7 linked regions of the Ovis aries genome follow. The protein of the gene in region 6 interacts with the protein of the main gene of each other region in a biochemical or structural test. Links are inferred from orthologs where the notes say so. Each region holds a gene or a part of one and is shown on either strand. Other genes may lie near its edges. The genes, in order: ATR, RFWD3, CDK1, ATM, RAD51, RPA1 and PRPF19.

Region 1 (3,500 bases), on a different chromosome or scaffold from region 6:
ATATGCTATAGTTAATCAGGAACTCTGGATCAGGTGACAAGAATTACTAATAATATTTAAAAAGGCATTGGAAAACGATTCTAATCTTGAATTTTCCTGGTAGGTTTGCATGGACTACAGGTAAAAAAGAGAAGTGATCAGACTTTATTTTGAAATAAAATTTTTTAAAGGGAGTATAGTTTTTTATAAAGTTTTAAAATGTCATTACATTCAAAGAAATATAACTGCTGAGAGGCAAGTTAGTGGCTCTGCCTCTCTCTGCCTTAGCTTTCTCATCCACAAAATGGAAAAATAATAGTACTTTATCTCACTGGGTAACTGAGAGGAGTTACGCAAGTGAAATAATCCATAAAAATTGCTTAGCAAAGTTTCCGACATGTAAGCATTGGAATGCTGTTACCATTCCACTTTCATAACACAGATTTTCTATCTCAAAATAAATAAATACACTCAATACTCAAAAAGACTCATGTAGAAAGAGATCCATAGCTGGCATATCATGAAATACAGGAAATAAATTAACATTGGAGGAAAACAATAGTTACATATGCATATCTGACAGGTTCTCTTGTTCCCATGTAGCCTCTTATTCCTCAGATTTTGTTGCTACTACGACACCAAAATTTGCAGCACAGGCTATAATTTTAAATTTGAAAACTAGCAAGAAAGTGGGCCAAACTGTAATCAGAGCACGAAGTAACTAAATTCAATGCTGTCATAATACTACAGTTGAAGGATATTGCCTCTTCTGACAGATATAATTATCTATCATTAGTCACTGATAGTTCCAATCAATTAATTCTAAAATGAAATTAGTTGAGAAGCTGATCCATGCATAGATGACTATCACATATCATCACTGTAAAACAATAAAAAAAATAACAAAAGAATACTTCTATTTAATACTCTCCTTTGGCCCAGGACAATACTTATTTATGTACCACTTGAACTTATATTACTCTAAGATAAATTATAAACTACTCACTCTACTTCCATAAGAATGTCACAATAGCTTTCCTATAATACTAATTTACATAAAAGAGTAAAACATATACAAACATTCAATTACCTTTAGATAATGAAGGGCACGTTCTAATTCATCCTTGGAACAGGAACAGACCAAATGGGAAAAAATATACTTGAAGTTATTTATTAAAATCTCTCTACGATTGACATTTAATTGTTTTCCTAAAGTTCGAATGAGAGCAGAAGCTGCAGGGCTTGCTTTGGCAGCAAGGTCAGGAAGCAACACTTGTAATGTTCTCTGAAAAAGAAACACTACAATTACCAAAAAGCATATTTGACCAGGTGATAAAATATTCACATGAGCTATGTACAAAAATAATGAAAAATACCACCCAAATTTGGAGTCCACCTACAACATATCTGAATTCAGATTTACTACTTATTCACTCAACAGACGTGTACTGAGCATCTACTATGGCACAGGCACTGCAGATACAGCAGTGAAAAATAGGCAAGGTTCTTGATGGTATGAAGTTTACACTGGAGGTGGGGAGAGATAGAAATAAAGAAGCTAATGTTCAAGAGGCAAAGAAAATAATTTCTCATTAGTATGTATTCATGCTTTTAATTAAAGCAGAGGTTTCAAGCTTGATTTATTATTTGATCTAACTAGTATTTAGACAATAAACAAAAGGAGCCATAAATACAGTATTCTAACTTCTTCAAATTAAGAAGTTGATGAGGGCGGGGGGTTCAGGATTGGGAACTCATGTACACCCGTGGCTGATTCATGTCAATGTATGGCAAAACCAATACAGTATTGTAAAGCAAAATAAAGTAAACATAAAAATTAAAAAAATAAATAAAATAAAATACGTTGAGTGTAAAAAAAAAAAAAAGAAGTTGATGCTACAATATTAAAGAAAACCTTTTTAATACACTGTCATCCCAACATGGCAACAAATCTATTTTGATTTTGGTCTATTTCCTTTAAGATCTTGTTCTTAAATAATATATAAAATTCCAAACATAAAATGATTGGCCTTTCATTTATTCACATATCTAACGAACAACTACTACATGTCAGTGACTATTATAGGCACTGAAGATATGACAATAAACAAGACCCAAACCCTACCCTCAGAGGTACTTACACCTTATTTGTGTTATGTCTTTCAACTTAATCCAGTAAGACTGGACATTATAAGGTAGTTTCTACCAAGTATTTATAATTATTGTATTACAGTGCATAATATTTTATGACCTAATTATTAGATACTTAAGTTTCTTCTCAGGGTTTTGTTTATTTGATACTTGGATAATGCTGCAGTAAACCTCTGCTTTGAGGTCCCCAGATGAAATTACTAAATGAAAAGGTTAAAAATATCTTTGTGGTCCTTAGAGCACAGTATCATAGTTTCTTCTAAGATTTGTCCAATTTACACACAATTTAATTTTGTTAAAATATGAAATTCTGTAGAGAAAAATTTTGCCTAGATCATTATTATAATTTATTAACTAATAATAATAAACTTTGCCTTTGGGAACACATAAGAAGATAACCTACACCATCCATCTTTGAAACCTCAGCCCCACTAATGACTTTTCAAAGGCTTCCCAAACCACTACATACTACAAACTTGATTATCTGAATTCACATGTTATCTATAGCATTATTTTGTACTCCCACTACTTAGGGATAGATATGATCATATTAGACTTTGCATTACCAACGAAACCCATCATAGCACTAAAGACATAAATGCTTGGTAAATGGAATTAATTAGCATTAATTAATTAGTATTAACTTTTCAAGATAGCTAACCATAAAGAGCAATGACTCAAAACAACACATATTTCACTTTTATAACATAAGTAATATTATATCAAAGTCAAAAGATAACATGTAAATTTGAAAATCTATGGTCCTCATTATACTTGCCAGATAATAAACAATACCAGATTTTTTTAAAAAATAGAGAGAGAATGGAATAAACACAAAATACTGAACTGAAAACCTCAATAAAGTCAACTATACTTTGCAACGTACAGTAAGGAAACGATTAAGATCAGGAAAGTCAAAAACATTGGCAATTTCAGACAAGGTATTTAAAGCCATTTCTCGCTGGTGAGCCACATCTTGTTTTCGCATCTCAGCATTCTGGCATGGAGTACTAGGAAGTGCCGTCATCTGACTGGAGTGGAGGGATTCTACCAAAAACTAGAGCAAAATGATGTTAGTTTTCACACAAGGAAGAACATTTAACTATTATGTTTTAGGCTAACATAAAGGCCAGTATCAGAGTTCTAAACATATTACCTGAATAATTCATTTAATTTTTATAACAACCTTAATGAGGTATATATAAACACCCTTCTATAGATGAAGTAAACAGGCTTAGTTAAACTGGAATATGTTCTTAAGGATTACACCACTAGCACAGAGCAAAGCCTGTATTTTAACATTTCCCAACTTTTCAGAATGAACCTTTCTTGAGTGAACCTTTCTTAAAACAGAGTACCTTATCCATAAT
Region 2 (3,500 bases), on a different chromosome or scaffold from region 6:
TATGCTGACCACTCCAGTCTGGCCTCTACTCATCACTTTGGGGAAACAGCTCTTTTCTAGATTATCTGTCACCTCTACATTGCTAAATCTAGTGGTCATTCTTCCCCTCAGTAGCACTTGACACACTTGACTGTCCCCTCCTTGCATCATTCTTCCAAGACACCACACTCTCCCAGGTTTTCTCCTACCTCATGGTCTTGGTTTCTGGGTTCTCTTCCTATAACTGTTATCCTTTTAATGTCTCTGGTATTGGTCCTTGGCCTGCTTTTCTTCTATCTCAACTCCTTCTTAGGTAGTTAATCTATCCCAAGATTTTAAGTGGCATGACTATACTGAGGATTCTTAAAGCTGTCTACTGTTCCATCTCCACTGCTACTAGTCTTGCCTCTGTGACCACTAGTTTATACTCTCATAATAGCCTATGAAGTGGTCACTTTGCCTGCACTTTTCCTCCCTTACAGTCCATTCCTAACGCAGAAGAAACTCCTTACCAAGGTCTTCTAGTGAAAGTGTTGTGTATCATCAACTTTACTCCTCATATTAAACCTCATACTGTCTGCTCTTTCTTACTATTCTCGTTATGCTGGGCTTCCTAGTTTCTCTGACGCACTAAACCCATACTTAGCAGACACCTTGTATTAATTTTCTTCTGAAACTCTTTCTTGGCTCTTCATACGGCCAACTTCTTTTAATCCTTCTTGTCTTGGTTTAATTTTCACTTATAAGAGGCCACCTCTCACTGTTGTGTCTTGCCCCCCACTCTCAAAACCAAATGGCACAATATATAATTTTTCACAATGATTTGTTTATTCTCTCATTTGCTAGAATGTAAATTGTATTATGCTGGGTCTTGTCCACTTATCTGTTTGCCTCTGTGGAGTGTCTGACTATATGACAGATGCTTAAATATTTCTTGAAAAATAGACTAACGTAGTGGAGTAGAGACAGGAAACAAATAATGAAAGGAACATAACCAGTGCTTAATAAATATTTGTTGAATGGACTAACAAATGGACTTAGAGATAGAAAACAAAAGTAATGAAAAAGTTGAAGTAAATAAAGGTTGCTCAGCCTTTTTGGAGGAAATAGGTTAATTTCTATTTTGAGTTATTAATTGAGTTATTTTGTGGAAATGTTCTTTCTGTGTTTATTTTTTGCACTTTAGTGCCATGAAAGATGAATATTGCCTACTAAAATTAAATATAGCATTGTATGCATTTGTTGTAGTAAATGTCCATATATAGGTCATGACAGAACTGCAAGAGGTCTGGGGGATTATTTTCAATAGTTCAGTTCTCTTATTTTATAGATTCTTTTAAAGACTAGTGCTGTGATCACATGACTTTATGTTTTCGAAGGGCAAACAGGATAACTGGTTAAAAGTCCTTATAAGAAAAGAGCTAAAATCATCTTTTAAGTTTCTCAGTTTTATCAAGAATGATCTTAAACAAGTATTAAATGATAGACATAATTAGATAAAACATGCCACGTAGCTGATACATTTTACTAATACTTTTTACAAATATTGCTTCCTCAGTGATGGCTCATGAAGCAATGGAATATGATCTTCAGGTGCAATTAGATCATGGTGCTGCAGATCAGCCTGCTCCTGCGGAAGTGGTCAGCAGCCAAGGGGGACCACCCCTGCTCCAGCCTCCTCATACTGAGGAGGTCAGCAGCCAGGAGGGACCACCCGTGTTGCATCCTATACTTGCTGAGGTGGTCAGCATCGAAGGAGGACCACCCCTGCTCCAACCCATTCCTGAGGAGGTGATCAACAGCCCAGAGAGAGTGCCGCTGCTTCCGCCTATTCCGCAGATATCTGTTGATCTGACAGAGGAAGTGGAGCTCTCAGGAACAGAGACTGTGGGGAACCTCAATCCAGGAGTTTTAGAGGAGTTTAGGCTGGAATCTGATGCTAACCGCACTCCCCAAGTGCCTTCATTGGATTCAATGAACAGCTTCATCAGTGGGCTGCAGAGACTTCATGGCATGCTGGAATTCCTGCGACCAACTTCAGACCGCAGTGTGGGGCCCGTGAGAGCGAGGAGGAATAGGAGGAGTTCTGCTTCACGGAGGGCAAGAGCAGGAGGGTCCCAGAGGACAAACAGTGCCAGGTAAATAGAAATGTAAATAGTGGGATTAGTACCTGATTGGGAATTATGAACTTTAGGCCCTGATGATAGCCCCAGTGCTGCCAGGAATTGGCATTGTGACTTGGCAAGTCGGGTAACCTTTCGGAACCCCCAGTACCTCATAAGTCAGATGAAAATGAAATTACTTGGTTTATTTACTTCACAAAGTAGTGGAGAGGATAAAGGTATACAGATAGGTTTTGAAAACTTGTTGGTAGTTTGTTAGCAGTGGTGTCTGCAGAGGCTGGCTTTTCTTTCGATCATTTGTCTCTTGTACATCAAATATATACATATATATATTTAACTTGCAAGTCCACTCCACTTGCCCAAGATTCATTGTTCATTGGCACTCCACTTAGTGGTACAGTAGATTTTGTAAGATGGGCAGGCTGGATTTAGAGAACCCTTGTGAAAAGTAGAGTGTGAATTAATATAGAACTTATCTGACTAAGTGGGAAACATTCTAGCCCTCCTCTCCTGAAACTGTGTTGTAGAGTTAAAAATAATTTTCTTCTATAGGTTTTGGTTTGAACTTGCCTCTTGAAGGGGTTAGCTGTCAAGTCTTGACAGTTATTATGAAGAATAACAGTTGTCTATATTTTAATCTGTTTTTTAACTTCTGCTTTATTTGAAATACTTAGTTCCACAGCTGGCTTTCTAAATGTCTTCATAATGTTGAAAGAAATTGAATTCAACCTTTTCATTTTAAATGTGAAAGAAACTTGGACCCTGAGAGAATGATCTATTCAGGGTCTCGGAGTTGACAGTACAGAGGAAGTTAGAGCTGATGTTGGAACCTGGATCTGACTGTTGTCTACAAAAGCAAATAAAGGAAGCTTCAATCAGATCCATTTCTCTAACACTGTGAAAATAATGAGAGGCTTCCATGGTGGTCCCGCGCCTAAGACTCTGCACTCCCAATGCAGGGGGCCTGGGATCAATCCCTGGTTAGAGAACTTAATCCCACATGTGGCAACTGATAGTTTGCATGCCACAACTAAGACCCGGCACAGCCAAACAAATAATAAAAAATAAATATTGAAAAGAATGAGATGGCACTAAATAGTGGTAGCTGGGCCATCTGTTATCTGTGTTTTACAAATGAGGAAGATGATGGGGTGATTTATGATTTGACTGAGATAACCCTGGACTTGGAATTGTGCCTTCTGATTTTGGATTTCAGCATCCTTTTCAATGGATCCTGCTGATTAGTGTATCAGGGCTGCTGTTACTGTGGCTGTAGTCTCTAATGCCTGGTCAGTGCTGGATGTGATCCATCAAGGGTGAGAAGAGCCTAGTTCTGTGTTGACAGGAGTTGCAAGTGCATGCTGCTCTGTTATTTTAAGGTGCCATTTACAATGATTT
Region 3 (4,147 bases), on a different chromosome or scaffold from region 6:
GAGACATGTCAGAATAATTTCAGTGCTCTTGAAAGGTTAACTTTTTTTTTTTGCTTATGCTACTATATATAGCATATATATATGAGAACATATATATTAATGTACTAATGACTGTTGGATACTTTAAAAACTGAATTTGAATATTTACATGTCAAACCATTAAATCATTTTTAAAATTCCTTGTATATTATTAAAGCCACTCACCTTCTCCAATTTTCTCTATTTTGGTATAGTCTTCCATAGTTAATCAGTGGGTACGGTAGATCCTAAAATGAGAAGAAAAGCTTATTTGATCACATGTCACCAATTCAAAGGGTGCTTTTAAGTTATTGATAAGATATTACAAGTAAAGAATTTCCCACTGTGCCTAGAGCAGTACTAACTTTCCATAATAGGACTTCCCTCACGGTGCAGTGGATAGGAATCCACCTGTCAATGCAGGGAACACAGGTTCAATCCCTGGTCCAGGAAGATTCCACATGCCACAGGGCAACTAAGCCCAAGCATCACAACTACTGAAGCCTGTGCACCTTGCTGGTGCACCGCAACAGAGAGTAGCATCCACTTGCCTCAACTAGAGAAAGTCACTTGTGGCAATGAACATCCAGTGCAGCCAAATACAAATAAATTTTTAAAAATTTTTCCATAATATTAGCTATTCTATTAAAACAATATTTACAAGGGGAAGAGCTCAAGACTCTCCCACCTTTCTTAGCTTCTGAAACATTGGAAATATTTGTATATCCTATACCTGGATAACTTTGGTATACTAAGTCGCTTCAGTGTCCGACTCTGTGTGATCCTATGGAGCCTGCCAGGCTCCTCTGCCATAGGATTCTCCAAGCGAGAATACTGGAGTGGATTGCCATGCCCTCCTCCAAGGTACCTTCCTGACCCAGGGATGGAAACCACTGTCTGTTATGTTCCCTGCACTGGCAGGCAGGTTCTTTACCACTAGAGCCACCTGGGGGCTTCTTTCAAAATTAACTTTCAAATTCAGACATCAACATCTATCCGTCCCAAAGAAAACCCTGATGTTCTTTACATAAGACTTCCAAGGCTCATCAATGTGCGCCAGTTATACCCAAATAGTTTAGCAATGAATGCTACTTGAATTTGTAGCTTCATGATACTTTTATGAAGTTAATAAACAATTTTTAAAGACATGAGTAGGGAGCTAAAATGTGGTCACACTGTTCAACCATTAGAAAATATTTAAAGCAGCAAAAGTATATTCATTTCAACTTGCTCAAATGACAGTTTTTATCTTTCTCTTGTTGTCAGGAGTCACGTAACACAAACATGATAAAAAAAAACTTTCAAGATACCTTTTGTAAAGTAGGAAATATCACTAAGCACTCTAAAAGAAAATGGGCAATTCCATACATAAAGTCTAATTATATCCCATGCAATGTCAAGAACAAAGAATGTCCATATACTTGAATCACACACACAAAAAAATGGTTAAGAAAAAAAAAGCCCAAATGACAACCAGATACTCAAGACTTCCTGGTAAGTTTGCCATGGAAACATCAACTTCAGAAGCCCAAACCATCATTTTATATCACTGATAAAATCATAAAGGTCACTGAACCTTAAGTTACATTGACCCTTGAGTTAAATTTCTCACATTCTTTTTCAAAATCATTCCAGACACAAGCAGAGATAAACTTTTTTAAATAAACAAAATTGCACTACTCTGGCCATCTTAAAAATGTTCAATTTTACAAATGGCAATGGATTAGGACTAACTATCTTTTCTTCAATATCCAGCTGTAATATGCCCAAATCACAATGAAACTGTGGAGCTTATTTTAAACAAAATAACTGAAAACTAACTCAATTTCAAAGCTGGGTTCAATTACTCTTTCACCTTTCCCTGGTTGCAACTATTTTAAATAAAGGATGTGGCTTCGTAATGCCTTTTGAATGCCTCCTCTATTCCTAGTGGCAGGATGTAAAATACCAATGGCTTCATCCACCCAGACACCTCCAGGTCTTTAAAGAAAGCAAGACCTGCACGTTAAAACTGATTAAAGGATTTTAAATGACACGTTTCTAACTCTCGGCGTTTCTTAGATTTCCAGTTTTTGCCAATTCCATTGTATGTAACAACCACCAAGCATAAAATAAAATCCAAAAAATCCAAGTTCTCTCGGGGTCTATGCCCAGGATAAGTGTTCTTAAAAGCTCCAGGTAAGCTAGGGTCATGGGAGCAGAGAGGCAAGCTGAGAAGGCCCACAAGTTAGTTCTTCCGGTCGGTTTCCCGTGACCACCTGGGATTAGAAGCAGGCCCGAGCACCGGGCTGAGTTGCAATCTTGCTTTCCACTCCCGGAGGCGAAGCTAGGAGCTGCAGGGCAGAGCCTGGCACTCCACAAGCGCTTGGTGTCGGCGAACGAAGGCACAAATCTGCCTTCCATCAACCCCAGAAAGCCTCCTCAGCCGCCCGCGACCCCAGATTGCAATTCAGAGACCACAGCAATGCCAACCCTGCCTGGCCGGGCTGGGCTCCCCCACGCCTCCCACTGAAGCCGAGGTTGGGCGTCGCTCCATGCGCAGGCCCGGGGCCTCCGGTTAAGGCCGGGCTTGGCGGTACGCAGAACCCCACTGCCCAGAGCCCAGCCTCCCAATTATCACCTGCTTCATTAATACTCCCCCTCCAAGGTCCGCGAGCCAGCCCTTCCGAGTGGACACCCCATAGGCAACACCCTGACCTCACCAACGCTACCCGGCTTTATCCCGCGGCGAAAGCTGCGGCGGCTACCAAGTCGGCGACGCTCTCCCTAACTTCCAAGCGCCAGCTTTGGAGCTAAGTGCGAGCAGTTTCAAACTCACCGCGCTAAAGGGTCCTGGATTCACCAATCAGATAGCCCGTAGACTTTTAAAGGAGCCAATCAGAGCCTAGCTTCCCTTAACGCTGGCCTCCCCGGGTGGCTAGAGCGCGAAAGGTGGAGGAAACGGCGGCTGGAGAAAAAGCAGAAGGGCGGGCGCCAACTGAGTCTGAGCGCAAGCGCGTTCCAAGATAGGGTCGTCTTATTGTTTCTAGTCATAAGAAATCTACTGTCCTCTCAGGGTTGGGTTTTTTTCTCTCCCAATATTGGCACAATAAAAATTTGAGGTATTCAAATAGTTCATCACAGAAGTGGTGCTACACGTAATCCAGATCCCATTACTTTCATTTCTGATACTGAAAGCTAATGTATATTTATGCTTTTCTAAAATAATGAATCTCAGTCTGGGTCAAAGAGCATGATTCTGCATGTCCCAAGGGGAAGATCCCTCATGCTCAACTTAAGACTCAAGGCAGCCAAAAAACAAAACAAATAAAGTTTGTTTTAATAGAAAGAGGTAATAGAAAACTAGGAAAGATGTCCTCAACAGGGTAAAGAAACTTTTCATATATATATAAATATATATATGAATATGAGTTAGATACATTTTTGTCACATTTCACACACATATATGGCTGAGCTGTTTTCACCTCACTGTTTTAAATTTCATTTTTAAAATCTATGTAACATTTTGACTTAAAAATTAAAAAGCAAAATTTTTCTTTTCTTAAATGTTAAAATATTCTCACATCAGAATTTTAAATGTTCTTAAAAACACAAAAATTCACACTTCTGTGGGAGAAGAAAAAGATCTAAATTACACTTTAAATAATCCCGTATCCCCAAACTCTTTCATTGCCCTCCACCATATCCTAAAGAGATTTCTGCACCTGAACATCATTCTTAAGTCTTTAAGAAAATAAAAAAGTAAAATAGAACTGAGGATAGTAAGAGTCTTTCCACTGACTGTATCGAGATCTGGAACAAATACTGATTACCATGCCCTCTACAACTATGTGTTTGATGATCCAGATTAGGATAAGGAATGGAATAAGTTTATCACATGGCCCCCTATATGTGGCACAAACACTCAACCTTGGCAATTTTGTGCTCCTGGGTGACAGAATATTTTAAATTCATAGTAGAAGTACGAGATTTGGGAAAACTTGGCCTGAACCTAATAACTTTTAAAACTTATTTTTAAAATCTCAAATTCACATTTTAAATGAAAACTGCCTTAAATTGCCTTAAATAAAATGAAAACTGTGTTCTAGAGAAGACTATTCTCTGCTAGTTTAGGGTACTAATTTTAAAG
Region 4 (3,500 bases), on a different chromosome or scaffold from region 6:
TCACAATGGTTAAAAAATCCATCTTGTCAAAAGTTGTCTGAAGAAACAGATCTTCAGCTTCTGAGAATGAAGGTTCTTCTGTATCTTTTTGGTGTTGCTCACTTTAAAGAAGTAAGATTTTAAATTTATAAGATCAAATTGTCTACTATTTTACCTTCATACAGCATCAAATAAAACATTAACTTAGCATTAACACTGAATCTATTTTATTCAAAGATTGCTCATGTAATTAGTGAATTATTCTTTTAAATGCTTTTCTTCTTTGGATTTTGATAACTACTTACATTGAATTTCATTATTCAGTAGCAATTTCACTAACAAATGGACAAGAGAAATAAAAGATTCAATCTAAAAGGCAAATTCAGGAAATATCAAAAAAACATTAATTAACAATAGATATAAACATTAAGAATAACATTATCTAAGGGACTTCTCTGGTGGGCCAGTGGTTGAGAATCTGCCTTGCAATGCATGGGACACAGGTTTGATTCCTGGTCAGATCCCACATGCAGTGGAGCAACTAAGCTTTCACGTGGCAAGCACTAAGCCTGTGCACTCTGGAGCCTGCTTGCCACAACTAGAGAGCTCATCTACCGGGCCCACGTGCCAAACCGAGAGTCTGTATGCTACAATAAAAGATCCCACGTGTCGCAACTCAGACTCGAGGCACACAAATAAATAAAGAAAAGAAAATGAAAAACAAATTGTCTGAAAACTTTTCCCTTTTTTTCACATTTCTCCAAAATGTAGATTTATTTCGTATTATGCCCTCTTGAGAAAGACTAGAAACTTCATGCCAGTGAATCATTTTCAGTCACAGTGATAAACATAAGCCTCTGAAGCCAATCGACCAAAATGGGGTTTTTAGATTTTTGTTTTCCCTATACTAAATTATCATTAGTTTTTAAAGTAGTCATTCAGATTTTATTTGACATATAGAAAAACCCTTTCCCACATGATGTTTATGTTCTTAATATCCCATCATAAATACATTACAGAACATAAATTATAATTATTGAAATAAAAGAAATTTAATTAAGAAATTTTACTTAAGAAATTTTAATTAAGAAATTTTCCCTTGCCTAACAGTTATAATTTTTTTAATTGACCAATTTGGTTCACAATTTTTAAGATGTAGCTACCACTCTGCTAAAATTATTATCTTTGTTAATTAAAACAACACAGAACTCCATTAGGAAACATACCATTCTGGCACACTTTGGAAAAAATTCATCGCTGCTTTACAATTTTTCATAGTGAGACTCACGAGAATTTTCTCCAGGGTAAGATGAGGAAAATTACTATGAAGTAAAAATATAGATCTTTACTTAAAAGACCAAAAGCCATTTAAAGCATTCTTTAAACTTAAACGCCCACGCTTAACTAAAAATATTGATCTCTAAAATTTGGACCCCAAATTGAAACTGTTTCCATCTGTACTAAATTTCTTAACAATTGAAAAAGTACTTAAGGAACATAAACTTTTTGTTACTATCATTTTCAGGACTTCTAGATATAGGACCACATTCAATTTTCAAAGAGCCTAAACAACTGTGAAATTAAAGTCAAATCACTAGGATCCAGAGGAGCCCCTTCAATCACTCAGTTCCAATTACTGACTGAGGAAAGGTTAAGTGGGCAAGTTGCTCCCCATTTTAGTGCTTAGGTACCAGTTTGTCTTTTTTCATTTCTTTCCCTCATTAATTTAACATATTTAGCCCAGAAAGCATTCTCCTTATGATTCCACGATATACCTGAGTGGATGTATGTTCAGATGGACCTATTCAGGGACAATCATAAACATGTAACTCTCACTGGTCTAGGTAGTGAGAGAAAACAAAGTAAAAGAACTTGGGCAAAGATTCAGGTACAAAGACACAGAACACTATAAAAACAAAGGGACTGCTTAATAGTTAGGACTAATTCTGGAAAATCCTGGAAAATCACTGCAAAATAAAGCCATCTAGTATCAAATAAGAAATGGAGAGCACCTTACAAAATAAATTTTAAAAGCAGCAGCATGCTAAGGAACTCAAATTACCTGCAAAGAATTGGAGGTAGTTCTGTACTGTCTTCAAAGTCATCCTCTAACTGACAGAATAAGAGCCATTTCATTATCAATTCCTTTAAAGAATTTCTGCTTACATCACATATATTTTTCTCAATTCCTATTTTTACTGATTCTGGAACTACACAGATTGTCAGTGCCAAAGTCAAACAGCATACTGCAGGACTGTCGCAAAACAAAAGACAATTAATATTAAAAGTAAACTTTTTGCATAGAATACAAACTATGGTTACCAAAGGGAAAAGGAGGTGGGAGAGGGATAAATTAAGAATTTGGGATTATCAGACATAAATTACTATGTGTAAAATAGATATACAACAAGGTCCTACTATATACAGAAGGAACTATATTCAACATTCTATAATAAACCATAATGGAAAAGAATACGAAACAAACAAACAAATATATATACACACACACACACACACACACACACACATATAGAAAAAACTGAATCACTTTGCTTATATACCAGAAACTAACACAATATTGTAAATCAACTATACTTCAGTTTTAAAACAATTAGGCTCTTAGAGGGACAGGGACCATGTGTATCTCTTTACTACTCTGTGGTCAATTTTTAGGACATGTCCTGGCACACGGTAGATATATAAACTTTTATGGACTAAATGAGCACAAAAAATTCGACTACATTTGAGAAAATTCTTGACTAAGTACTATCTTATTGTAACAGTATGCAATACTAAAAGAAATAGTTTATTCTATTTATGAGCAAACAGATATGTAATCTTTAAAACTGGGTTTAGTAATCTCTTCATATTTCAAACTTATTTATTAAGACTTCCTTAACAAACGAAAGAATCTGAAACAGAATTTAACATATTTTTAACTGAAGTTAGAAATTACAAAAATCAGGAAATATATGCTGCAAAATATAATTAATAGTCAACTTACCATGAAGGTCTACAGGCTGACCCAGTAAATAACTTCCAGAATTCTCTGTCAACCTCAACTAAACTGCCTTGAATTATGGCTCCAAGTAAGCCAAAGTTTTCTGTTTGTATTTGTTCAGAACTTATACCACGAAAAGTAATAGACCAAATTTTAATCCAGATTTTCAATAAATCTGACTTCAGTGAGCTTTCTAGGTTTGACCTCTTGCCTTGACACAATGCAACTTCCATAAGACATCGTAACACATATGGTGTGCGTTCCCCATGTCGCTGTTGAGGTAGAAGCTGGTATAGTATCATTAGTAATGGTGACAACTCACAGTTAGGTAAACTTGCAGGATATTTTGATATTAATTGAGTTGCGATTTGTAACCTAAAAAAAAAAGTACAAATAATTTGAAAATTATTCTACTGCATTAAGATGCCAAAAGAAAATAAATATATAGACATAGTACTCATACAATATCCTAATTAGAACATTGTCATCATCATTTTCCAGACTACCCTCAAAATAAACT
Region 5 (3,500 bases), on a different chromosome or scaffold from region 6:
TGAGTATATTATTTGAATTGACAATTAAACAATTGCCAGTCTTCTTGGAGTCTCTAAATTAGTTTATCATTTATTTGCCAGAGAGAAAATAATCCTAGAACTAGAACTTACGAGTAAACTTTTTAAAGAGAAATCATTCTGGAAATTTTGTTAGATGTTACCTCTTCCCACTACATGCCTGATTCTTACTTTACTAAGTGTATTTCATCAGTTTGACATTTCTTATTTTTCCCCAGACTGAGGCAGCTAAATTAGTTCCAATGGGTTTCACCACTGCAACTGAGTTCCACCAAAGGCGATCTGAGATCATACAGATTACTACTGGCTCCAAAGAACTTGACAAACTGCTTCAAGGTATCGTAATCTCTTATCCTATGTCATGAACTATGGTTAACAAAGCATCCAGGTTATAGAACATAACTAAATTATTTGGTTCATGTTTATGTGTTAGAATTAAGAAATAAAGGAAAGTATTCCGTAAGACTGAAGGGTGAGGCTGACTTTAAAAATACGAAAATTATCTGCCAATTCAATAATTTAATCTCCAATTAATAATTGCATTCTTGAGAGTCATCTCCCTCTGCCTAAAGAAATAATATAATCTTTTACTCTACCACAAGGTAGAGAATCTGATGGCTGGTTAAAATACTACACTGTAGTATCAGCACGTTGTGGTGCACACTAATTTTCAGGACTTGATGCAAAGCTGTAAAGTTTTTGAACTTTTGAAAGCATCGCTGTCCTAAATTTTAGTGTTGGGTTGGTTCTTGCTGCTTCCCCAAATATTTGATCATGTAAGTTTCTTTTTTGGGGGGCACAAAATAGCATGAGTTCAGGAGTCACACTCAGATTTGAGCGTTTGCTTTCCCTCCTGTTCCCTCTCTGGTGCAGATTACTTATATTCTATGCCTCAATTTTCTTATCTTATTGAAGAAGAAAAGGTCTTACCTTTGACCTCATAATGAGGTCAAAAAAAGCTTCCTACCTTATAAGTTATTGGAATTAAATGAATTGATAGCACAATGACAGATACACAAAAAATACTTGGTAAATGTTAGATATTATCTATAATTTATTTTTTAAATGACTGCTTATTGACTTGTGATGGTATTATTCTGTATATTGGTTGTGGTGATACTTACATGAAGCTACAGATATGATAAATCGCATAGTACTACACAGACACACAAATGAGTGCATATGTAGCTGGAGAAATCGGAATAAGCTCTGTGGATTGTATGGATGTGAATTTTCTGATATTTATACTATAATTATATAAAACATTAACATTGGGGGAGGCTGGATGAAGAATGCATGGAACCTCTATATTTCTTTGCAGTTGTCTATGAATCTAGAATTATTTCCAAATGAAGTATTTTTAAAATTACTGCTTATTGAAGATTGGGTCTCTAAATTATATAAACATCTCTCTGATGAGCTACTGGGACGTTTCTATGGTTATGTTTCTAACATTTGTATTGTGCCTTTTTTAGGAGGAATTGAGACTGGATCCATCACAGAGATGTTTGGAGAATTCCGAACTGGGAAGACTCAGATCTGTCATACATTGGCTGTAACATGCCAGGTGAGCTGTTGGGGCTCTGCCTAATCATATCAGCAAGAATGAGTTGATTCCTGCTACTGGCAAGCATCTGTTAGCATGGACCAAAAAAGCACTTTCTCTGTCTTCAAAAATGCGAGGGGGACTTTCCTGGCAGGGCCAGTGGTTCAGACTCTGAGCTCCCTCTGCAGGGGCACAGGTTCAGTTCCTGGTAGGGTATTGAACCTGTGCATGCTGCGTGACTCAGCCACAAAAGAAGAAGAATGCTGTGGCTAATTAGAAGACAGGTTGCTACTGTAGGACTTCCAGACAGCTCGGAAACTTTCAGATTATTAATTTCACATACATTCTTGCTATCCACTAGGCCTCTCCTGGCTTTTTCTGCCCTCTTCACTAGTTTAGATTTATGATTCTTCATTAAAGTCATTCCTTTACAGATACCCTCAGATTTACACTCCCCATCTGAAGAGATGCCGTTCTTAGATGAACCCTATCTGTTTTCAGTGCCTGATTTCCCCAATAGCTGATCATACTAGAGAAAAATCTTAACATAAAGCTGGTTGACCTCACTTTAAATTTAAGATGACAGGCTTTAACATTCAATACCGCTTGGCAGATCTCCTGAAAATTTTTCATTCAGGCAACGTTTTCCTCCACTCAGTAAGAATCTTCGTAATTTCTCCTTTTTCCTCAAAATTTCATGCTTCTCTTCAGCCTCACTGTTAGCCAAATTAATCTAAACTGTTCTTCACATCAAAACTATAAACTCACGTAGCTTTTATAAAAATTTTATGAAGTATAGTTGATTTACAATGTTATGTTAATTTCCGCTATCTAGTAAAGTGGTTCAGTTATACTAATAAGTACATTTTTTTTTCATATTCTTTCCCATTGTGGTTTGTCGCAGGATTGTATTTGTTTATCTGGCTGCATTAGGTCTTAGCTGCACCATGCAGCTTGTAGGATCTTTGTTGCGTCATGTAGGATCTTTCACTGCAGCGTGCGGACTCTCTAGTTGTGGCACACGGGCTAGGTAGTTGCATTGCTCAGGTTCCGGAGCATGCGGGCTCTAGTTGTGGCCATGGGCTTAACTGCTTCACAGCATATGGGATCTTAGTTCTCCAGTGAAGGATCGAACCCATGCCCTTTGCACTGCATGGTGGATTCTTAACCACTGGGTCACCAGGGAAGTCTCTTGTAACAGAACATTGAATGTAGTTCCTTGTACTGTATAGTAGGACCTTGTTGCTTATCCATTCTGTATAATACTTTGCAGCTGCTAATCCCAAACTCCCAATCTATCCATCCCCAACATCCCCCTCCTCCGACTTTTCTCTATGTCTGTTTTGTAGATAAGTCCATTTGTGGTACATTTAATTTATTTTTTAAAATATAAATTTATTTACTTTAGTTGGAGGTTAATTACTTTGATCACATTTTAGATTCCATGTGTAAATGATATCACATGGTGTTTGTCTTTCTCTTTCAGACTTAGTTCACTTAGTGTGATAATCTCTAGGTCCCTCCATGTTGCTGCAGATGGCAGTATTTCATTCATTTTTATGGCTGCGTAGTACTCCATTGTATATCTGTATAGTAGTCCATGGAGTAGTATTTCATTGTATATATGCACATCTTCTTTATCCATTCATCTGTCAGTGGACATTTAGGTTGCTTCTATGTCTTAGCTGTTATGATAGTGCTGCTGTGAACACACGGGTGCATGTATCTTTTAGAACTAAAGTTTTGTCTGGGTATATGCCCAAGAGTAGGATTCCTGGAGCATATGGTAACTCTATTTTTAGTTTTTTGAGGAGCCTCCATACTGTTTTCCACAGTGGCTATACCAATTTACATTCCTACCCACAGTGTAGGAGGGTTCCTTTTTCTCCACAACCTCCCCAGCATTTGTTATTTGTAGGCTGTTTAATGAGGGCCA
Region 6 (4,191 bases):
CAGGCTCGATGTAATATACAATAGGATTAATATAATTAACGATGCTAAATATGAAAGTTGTTCAGAGAGTAAGTCCTAAGAGCCCTCATGGCAAGGAAAAAAATACTATTTTTCCTTTTGCATGTGTGTGTGGTGACAGGTGTTCACTAAACTGATTGTGGTAACAGTTTCACGATGTGAGTCAGATCATTATGCCGTACACTTTAAACGTACACAGTGCGGTATCAATTACATCTCCATAAAACTGTAAGGAAAAAAAATACAAAGCAACAGAAGGTAATGCTCAAAAGTATGTGTTCAAATCCTCAGCTCGTGCACAAACTAATTCTCTGTATTTTAATTTCTTCGTCTGTAAGATGGGGTTAATGATAAAAATCTACCTTACAGGGTTACTGTAAGTACTGACTATAATGAAATATCTGGCACATTGGAAATGATAAAAAATATTAGTTCCCTTCCCCTCTCTTTGTATTACCTAATTACTTAAGACAGAAATACTATTTGTTCTATTTACCACAATAGTTCCATGAATAATCTCTTATGTTAGCTCTTGCTGAAAATGTCCCTACTATTTGTGTGCGTTAGTTGCTTGCCCTTTGTGGGGGGGGGGGTCTATGTCTTTTGAACTAAAATATTACTTGCTTTAGATGAGAAATTTGACAATGGTTCTCTACCAAAACACACACATAAATTTTCATTGTCATTTATGAACAAGATCTAAGTAATACTACAATTTTGAATGTGACAAAAACTCAGCAAATTATTTAAATAATACCTTAGTCACTGTTTTAATTTAAAAGTAAAGAACTCCTAATTTGTCTTAAAGATGCAAGGTTGCAGCTATAAAGGAGACAAGGACTACAGTTTGCAATCACTTCTAAAGGTTAATTATTTTTAATGTATTAAAATATTCACTCCGCTTTGCCAAAAAAAATAAAAAATAAAATAAAATATTCACTCCGCTTTGCCAACTGTGCCTCTCCATCCAGCTCTGTCCCTTTCTTTTCACTGCCTCACACGCAAGTAGTAAACATTTATTGGGCACCTAATACCTGCTAGCACTGCTCCAGGAATCGGGGAGACTGTGTTGGGCAAAAAAAAAAATCAGACAAGATTTCAGGCTTCAGAGCATTTACAATCCAGTCGGGGGGGTGAGAGAAAGGAACTGACATTAATGAAATGAACAATATTTAATGTAAAATCATATCTGCAACTGTTAATAACAGGTAACAAGTAATGCACATATATTATGTATCAGACATGGACTAAGCACTTTAAATTAATAGCTCATTTAATCCCTCCACTAATCACAGGCAACAGGTACTAGGTATGATTAGCCTGTGACAGAAGAGGAAAGACAAAGTTTAATATCTTGCCTGAAATCACAGATAATAGGTGAACAAGCAGGAATTAGGGTCGGAAAATAAAAGGACTTAAGCCTAGCAAACTGAGTCAAGGAAGAGTTCTTTGAGGAAGTAACTGAGTGGAGACTTGAAGATTATGTTAGTCAACAGGAGAAGAATGAAGAACACCCCGTTGTTAATTGGCTACACTCCAATACAAAATAAAAAATTTAATGACAATAATTTTTTTAAAAAAGCACCACCCAGGCAGTAGGCACAGGTTAAAGAATGTTCAAAGCCCCTGCGGAAGGCAGGAGTATGAAATATACCAGGAATTTACAATTTACATTTTAAAAAGCTGAAAAAAAGGAAAGAACAGGTAGGAATATGCCGTGTTGGGAATGGCAGGAGGAAGATTATGCTGGGTTAAAGGAAGAAGGCCAGGCACAAACAATGGTGCCTGGAGAGAAGTAGCTGGATTTAAGAGACATGGGTGAAGGCATAACAGACCAAACTTACGTAGGGTGACAGCCAGGGTGAGAGTTTAAAGGAAGAATGATTCCACAATTTCTAGCTGGCATAACTTAATGAATAATGGTGCCATGCATCCAGACAGGTGACAGCAGAGGCCCAAATTTAGGAAGATATTAGATTTTCTTTGGAACATGTTGAATTTAAAATGTCTTTGAGATTATCAAGTACACAGATGACAGAGGTTTGTCTTTCAGAGTAAAGCTGGCCCTGCACAAAAAAAAACTTGTGAGCAACTGACACAGAGACGGTAATTTTATTGTTTTGGGAGAAGAGGGCCTAGGGTTGAGCCTTGAGTCAACAAAAATTTACAGAAGGATCTGAAAATAAGACGGGGAAAGACAAGCCAAGCTGAAAATAAGACGGATTTTCTCCCGTCTTAGAAGAGGATGCTACCGGAAGAAAGCTTTGCCCGATAGTCAAACGCTGCTGAGAACTGACAGATTTAGATCTCCAAAGTGTCTGCTGGACTTAACAACCCCAGGAGGCACTGCTGACTTCAGCCAGGGTTACAGCGATCAGGGAGGAGAGTGACTAATTCGAGTCGGTTAAAGGGGAATGCGAGGCGAGGAAAAGAACTGAAAACTAACAACTCTTGCAAAAAGTTTCGCTGCGGATGGGGGAAGGGAAGAAGAAAGAGTGGCTGCAGGAGAGAGATGGGGGAAGATCAATCGTTTACTTTGTTTCAATTCCTGAAGCAGGAAAAACATGAGCATGTTGAAAAAGATGACGATAAAAATGCGTTAACTGATGATTCTAGGGAGTCATCCAGGGGTTCCTACCCAACCCCCGCTATCACTCCGGCTCCTGTGTTCTCTCCCCCTCCTCCACCCGCACGGCCCCAGGGCCCACAGCCGCCCCGGACCGCGCCCAGCTCGCAGGCGTCGCCTCACCGCAATGGCCCCCTCGCTCAGGTGGCCCACCATGGTTCCGCTGCAACAACTCCCGCGCTCCGGCTCCCCCAACACAAGCCTGGCTTTACTCCCGGGGACCCGCGCGCTCCAAGGCGATTGGCCGGAGGAGCTGCGTGAACCGCCCCCGCCTCCCGACGTGCGCACGGCACGCGGCAGTCTCAGGGCCAAGCAGCCGCCGCATTGGCTGAGGCGCGGCACGCGGCTCACGTGACCCACCGGAGTCCGGGTCCCGAGCCTTGTTGCGGGATGGCGGGGGCCTAGGGGCGGGGCGCCGAGCGCTGGGGCGCGCGAACCGTGACGCGGGCGCCGCCAAGGGCGCAGGGCGGAGGGGTTCCGGGAGCTTTCCCCGCGGGCTCTAGGAAACGTACCGCGCTCGGCCTTCGGCGGGCAGCCATAGACTGCTAGCCCAGAGGAGTGTTCGAGGGGTTCCCTGATAATTCTGCTACTGAAAGTAGTCGAAGCAGTGACTCGCTTCTTTCAGCAACACCGAGCTGAGCTCCCGCAGGTGCCAGACCCTGAACTGGGCACAGTGGGGGGGGTCTCTCAAGGTAAATAAGACCTGGTCCCTACTCCCAGAGGGGAGCACAGTATGTCGAGGGAGTTTCTGCTGTGAGTAGCCTTAACTCAGTGTAGACGTGGTTTGGGTCCCAGGAGAGACGCAAAGTGTGCGCCTGTCGTCACAGGTGCCAAAATCAGGGAAGGCTTCTCGGAGTAGGAACCATTTGAACTGAGTCTTGAAGGATGTGTGCAAATTCGGATAGTAGGGTATAGAGGAAAAAGCGAGACTTGATCAGAAAGTAGGTCAGGGGTCAAATGATAAAGGGTTTGTACTGGGCTTCCCCAAGTTCTAGGAGGAGCATCAGTGAATTTAAGGCAGAGAATTGACATCGGTCTCAGTATGGAGGATGGACTAAATTGGGAAGGGGGAACAGGGAGGGATAGTCTGAGGGCCTGAAGACTAATTATGACACTCGAGAAAGAATGCCAGACAGGAAATGGTGAGGGCTTGAACTAAAGAAGGGACCTCGGGATTGAAAAGAAAAAACTGAACTATGTAAGAAATCTGATTCATCATTGTATAACCGTTCCCTAGTACGATGCCAGGAACAAAGTCAGTTTTCAGTAAATAATTTCTGAATGAAGGGATGTGAATTGGTGCGGGAGAGGATACATCCTTCCCTGGCATGTAAACAACTGTAGGAAGAGACTACAAGATCTGATTTTGTGGCCTCGTGGTGCATGCTTGAATGAAATCGATTTTCTGGAATTATGCATTTGTAGAAAACTGAATTCCTTGTTTTCTTATTCATTTTTTAGGTCTGAAGTAGCATGGATCTGCCCGTGGATGAGTGGAAATCCTACGTACTTCAGAAGTGGTCTTTGCTCCCCAAGTCCATTCAGGT
Region 7 (4,053 bases), on a different chromosome or scaffold from region 6:
CACCTCACCAGAAAGGAATAAAAACACTACAGCTGCTGTTTATTGACTGCTCTCATTGCGTCAGGCACTGAGCCAGGCAGTCCTCAAGATGCAGTCTTTGACTCATTCATATTTAGAGCACCTGCTGTGAACCTGGTTCTCACTGCTGGGGCTCTAATGAGTAAAACAAGTCCCTGACACCATGAAGCTCATACTCTAATTTTACTCTGAGTCTCTGTAAACCCTGAGACAGGTACTAATCCATGCAATATGGTCAGGAAAAGTAGCACTTGGATACTTGCCAAGGGACGTGGCAAGTGGGCAACGGAGCAAAGGGTGGAGCCCAGATCTGTGTGACATTAAGAACCAGGCTTCTCTGCTCTCACCCTCCCCTCAAAACAGAAAATAAGGCTCCATCCCTCCCATCCCCACCCATGTCCTAGTCCAGTGATCCCTTCTTTTCAAGTCGCGAAAATATAAATTCTCTTCGGGGACTCACCCACTCATCCTGCAAGGCTTTCAGAATGGCTGGGATGCTGGTGGCTGAGGGAGGCTTGGGCCGGATTGGGTGAGCAACTGCCAAGAGAGACAAAGTGGGTGTGAAAACCCATGACCTAGGGCATGCTGGCCCTCCCACATTCTTTCTTTCCCCTTCAGCACTAACAGACCACCGTTTCCTCCCCTGGCTCCCACATGCTATGCACCCGCCACCCTTCCCACCTTCCCAGGCTTTAGGCTAGGACAGCCTGGACTGGGGCTGGCCAGCAGGCACCTTTGATATCAATGAGCTGCTCCTCGGACAGAGGCTGGTTGTTGATGGGATCTGTGCCATTCTCTGCAATATACTTCTCAATGAGCCGCCGCTCATACACATGATTAGAGACGGGGGACACACAGGGGTGTTCTGGCACTTCATTGGAGACTGCGGAGAAAAGGCAGGTGGTGAGCCTGGGGTGGTGACAGGGACCCTGGGCCAAGGGGACGCTTCACCTTCGGCTGGCCTCCACAAGACCTTGCTCCCTACACTCAGCTAACAGGAATCAAGACATGACACCAAGCCAGTTTTGGACTGTACCCACAATGCTTTCCAGCCACTTAACTAGCTTCTCCATCAGTCTCTGACAGTTAGGTAGTCAACAAATAATTGCTGCACAACTACTAAATGCTAGGCACCTAGGGAGCAGTCAATAATTCCTGCCCATCTCATTTCTGAACAAAAACGCTTAGGCACCCATTATATAGCAGGACAAGAAGATACACACAAAGCCATTCAAGTCTCAGACTAGGACCTAGATGGATTCTCGGACACATTACAAACCGATGTGACAAGTGCTATGATAACAAAGTATTTACATGGTGTTTACTAGGCGCCAAGCTCCACTGTAAACACTTTCCATTGATGAAATCATCCTCACCACTCCCCAACAGAAGTATCCATTTACATCCCTGAGGATTGGGACTGTAGCTGCTCTCTGACTTCCAGTACAATGCAGGTGCTTGGCAAATGCTCAGGAAACATCTAACAGACCAGCTGATGGATACTGAAAAGACCTTCCTCAGGACTGAAACAATGAATGTGAAAATACTCTGCACACTGTCATTTCTTTAACGCTTAAGGACTCTTTTTCTAGTCACATTTCCCTTCACTCTTTCTCTCCTTTATTTTGGATTTATGGGGAGGTTCTGAGAAGAGTCAAGAGCTCGAGAGTTAGGAAGCCGAGAGAGAAAAGAATGAGAAACTAATAACCTGATGAACAACCACTCTCCTCAATAACATATCCAAAAGACAGGACAAAGCATTTGAAAAAAGCATGGATTCAGGATCAGAGAAACTGGCTTCGTCACACAGCTCTGCCACTAACTAGCTGTACTGTTTTACAAAAGCCACATTTCTCCTTGAACCTTACATCCTTATCTGTAAAACCGGATCTTTATTTCTGCTTTGGAGAATTGCTGTGGGGACAGAACGACTCTGCAGTTTTGCAAGCACGCTGTAAACCAACAGAGGCTTTTCCAAATGTGCAGCTGTTTTCATCAGCCCTACAGGGTGAGGCTGGTCTGGCTCCCAGGCCTGTCACCGCCTCCAACTCACTGTGCGATCTTCGCAAACTGCAGAAGCGCTGCCTACCCAAGCGGGGCCTCAGACAACACATCCAGTGCCAAGGCCATTATTTTTGCAGTTGGGGAAACTGAGGACCGCATCCCGGAGCCAGATCACAAAGCCAGCTGGAGGCGGATCCTGCACAAGCCCTCTGGCTTCCTGCTTCCTACAGAGAGCTCTTTCCCCTGCACCACCAGCTCCCCGCTATCCAAGCCTCATATCCACTGCGCAAACGAGATGGGCTGCCTCTGTGCAGCCTGCGAGAATGCACCGGAGACGTTATGTAAACTATGAAGCGCTGCGCAAACTGACCTCACGCTGGAGGAGGAAGACCCCCCCGGGCTGACAGGCCGCCGCCCTGCCTCCCCGGAGCCCCGTTTTTCAGGTCCAGCCCCGACCCCGGCGCCGCAGAGGCGCGCAGATCCTCACGCTCAGCTCTCCGGCCTCCAGCGCCCCGCGAGCGGCCGCAGCCGATACTCACTAGAGCAGATCAGAGACATGGCGCCCTCGCTGCACTCCGAGGCTCCTCACACTGGACTCCGGGATCAGCTACTGGGCCCCCGCGGGACACTTCCAGTTCCCTCGCTGCTTCCAGACGCTCCGCTGCGAGCGGGGAGCTGCCCCGCGGAGCGATGCTTGCGAATGGCTTCACGTGGGACTGTGGCCAGTCGCGCGCCTCAGCCTCCAGAATTTAACGGAAACTGTCCTTTCCCATAATGCAATCAGGCAGGAAAGGGCGCGCCAGGAAATACTCGGCTATTTCCGGGCCCTCTCGGCTAGTTTCGTAAAGCTCCAATGGCTGGGAGAGGAGATTCGAAACTACATTTCCCTTAATGCACTGGGACCTTAAAGCCAATCAATTTAGCTGCACTCTTGAGCCAGGGGCGGTGGAACGACTGTCTTGCAAATATTGGAGTATATGAGAATTTTTTTTTATTTTTAATGCTATTAGTCTTTTATTTCGTGAGCATGGTATACTTTGATTTACTTGAAGTGAAGTGAAGTCGCTCAGTCGTGTCCGACTCTTTGCAACCCCATGGACTGTAGTCTATCAGGCTCCTCAGTCCACCCAATTTTCCATGCAAGAGTACTGGAGTGGGTTGCCATTTCCTTCTCCAGGGTATCTTCCCAACCGAGGGATCGAACCCGGGGCTCCCTGTCTGCAGGCAGACACTTTACCGTCTGAGCCACCAGGGAAGCGGTCTTCTGTAATATTTTTTCAGTATAGTTTTATATTATTGTCCATAGTGGTTTTGCATATTTTATGTCTATTTTTGAGTACTCCATAATTTTTTATTCTATTTTCAAATTTTTAATTTATTTTTAATTGGAGGATAATTGTTTTACAATGTTATGTTAGTTTCTGTAAGAATTTCTTAAGGAACTTTTAAAAATGCATTTTTCTGGGGTCTCATTTAGAGAGTCTGCATTTTCAGTTCGTGCCCCATGTGTTTCTCTGGCAAGTGTTTCTCAGAGGATTAGCTTTGGAAGACCCAGTGAAGACGAAGATACACATGGGTAGAGAAGCTAACACTGGCTAAGAAACTCTTCTGGTCTTGCCCCTACTACCAATTTGCTCTGTGATTTTGGGCAAGTCATCTGCTTCTTGGACACACTGGCCTTTCAAGCCCTCAAACTTATCCACTCTGGTTCCAGATCCTTCACCTGGAACACTTTCCTCAATCCCTGCCCTTCTCCCCACCCCTCCCATCCTTTCCAAAGTAAATCCAATCTCACCCTAAATAGCACTTCCTCTGGAGTCTCTTTTCTTGACCCCTGACTGAATTTTAGTCCCCACAGCACCCTGTAATTTTCCTCTGAGTCCCTCTGGGATAGCTATAATAATTTATTTCGAAGAACTTATTATTTATTTTTGGTTGCGCTGGGTCTTCACTGATGTGAGAGGGCTTTCTCTAGTTGCAGTAAGCAGGGGTTACTCTTTGTTATGGTGTGTGGACTCTCATTACAGTGGC

The links.
Region 1: the proteins of RPA1 (region 6) and ATR form a complex in vitro, tested with the Homo sapiens proteins (2 studies listed by BioGRID, with this or other methods). The link is inferred for Ovis aries from reciprocal best matches to the Homo sapiens genes RPA1 and ATR.
Region 2: the proteins of RPA1 (region 6) and RFWD3 form a complex in vitro, tested with the Homo sapiens proteins (3 studies listed by BioGRID, with this or other methods). The link is inferred for Ovis aries from reciprocal best matches to the Homo sapiens genes RPA1 and RFWD3.
Region 3: of the proteins of RPA1 (region 6) and CDK1, one has a biochemical effect on the other in vitro, tested with the Homo sapiens proteins (2 studies listed by BioGRID). The link is inferred for Ovis aries from reciprocal best matches to the Homo sapiens genes RPA1 and CDK1.
Region 4: the proteins of RPA1 (region 6) and ATM form a complex in vitro, tested with the Homo sapiens proteins (3 studies listed by BioGRID, with this or other methods). The link is inferred for Ovis aries from reciprocal best matches to the Homo sapiens genes RPA1 and ATM.
Region 5: the proteins of RPA1 (region 6) and RAD51 form a complex in vitro, tested with the Homo sapiens proteins (2 studies listed by BioGRID). The link is inferred for Ovis aries from reciprocal best matches to the Homo sapiens genes RPA1 and RAD51.
Region 7: the proteins of RPA1 (region 6) and PRPF19 form a complex in vitro, tested with the Homo sapiens proteins (2 studies listed by BioGRID, with this or other methods). The link is inferred for Ovis aries from reciprocal best matches to the Homo sapiens genes RPA1 and PRPF19.

The regions. Positions count from the first base shown.
Region 1 is NC_056054.1:247,100,564-247,104,063, reverse strand, and holds part of ATR (serine/threonine-protein kinase ATR), read right to left. Parts: intron 3,188-3,500; coding exon 3,017-3,187; intron 1,265-3,016; coding exon 1,070-1,264; intron 1-1,069. UniProt on the Homo sapiens protein: Serine/threonine protein kinase which activates checkpoint signaling upon genotoxic stresses such as ionizing radiation (IR), ultraviolet light (UV), or DNA replication stalling, thereby acting as a DNA damage sensor.
Region 2 is NC_056067.1:1,596,559-1,600,058, reverse strand, and holds part of RFWD3 (E3 ubiquitin-protein ligase RFWD3), read left to right. Parts: intron 1-1,537; 5' UTR 1,538-1,539; coding exon 1,540-2,117; intron 2,118-3,500. UniProt on the Homo sapiens protein: E3 ubiquitin-protein ligase required for the repair of DNA interstrand cross-links (ICL) in response to DNA damage. Plays a key role in RPA-mediated DNA damage signaling and repair.
Region 3 is NC_056078.1:15,814,874-15,819,020, reverse strand, and holds the start of CDK1 (cyclin-dependent kinase 1), read right to left. Parts: upstream 2,801-4,147; 5' UTR 2,730-2,800; intron 267-2,729; 5' UTR 242-266; coding exon 205-241; intron 1-204. UniProt on the Homo sapiens protein: Plays a key role in the control of the eukaryotic cell cycle by modulating the centrosome cycle as well as mitotic onset; promotes G2-M transition via association with multiple interphase cyclins.
Region 4 is NC_056068.1:17,556,450-17,559,949, reverse strand, and holds part of ATM (serine-protein kinase ATM), read right to left. Parts: intron 3,356-3,500; coding exon 2,984-3,355; intron 2,234-2,983; coding exon 2,042-2,233; intron 1,302-2,041; coding exon 1,206-1,301; intron 102-1,205; coding exon 1-101.
Region 5 is NC_056060.1:34,474,521-34,478,020, forward strand, and holds part of RAD51 (DNA repair protein RAD51 homolog 1), read left to right. Parts: intron 1-236; coding exon 237-354; intron 355-1,493; coding exon 1,494-1,585; intron 1,586-3,500.
Region 6 is NC_056064.1:22,789,323-22,793,513, reverse strand, and holds the start of RPA1 (replication protein A 70 kDa DNA-binding subunit), read right to left. Parts: upstream 2,801-4,191; coding exon 2,768-2,800; intron 1-2,767. Other genes in the region: SMYD4 (SET and MYND domain-containing protein 4), read left to right, coding at 4,118-4,191. UniProt on the Homo sapiens protein: As part of the heterotrimeric replication protein A complex (RPA/RP-A), binds and stabilizes single-stranded DNA intermediates that form during DNA replication or upon DNA stress.
Region 7 is NC_056074.1:34,605,910-34,609,962, forward strand, and holds the start of PRPF19 (pre-mRNA-processing factor 19), read right to left. Parts: upstream 2,801-4,053; 5' UTR 2,581-2,800; coding exon 2,562-2,580; intron 902-2,561; coding exon 752-901; intron 556-751; coding exon 479-555; intron 1-478. UniProt on the Homo sapiens protein: Ubiquitin-protein ligase which is a core component of several complexes mainly involved pre-mRNA splicing and DNA repair. Required for pre-mRNA splicing as component of the spliceosome.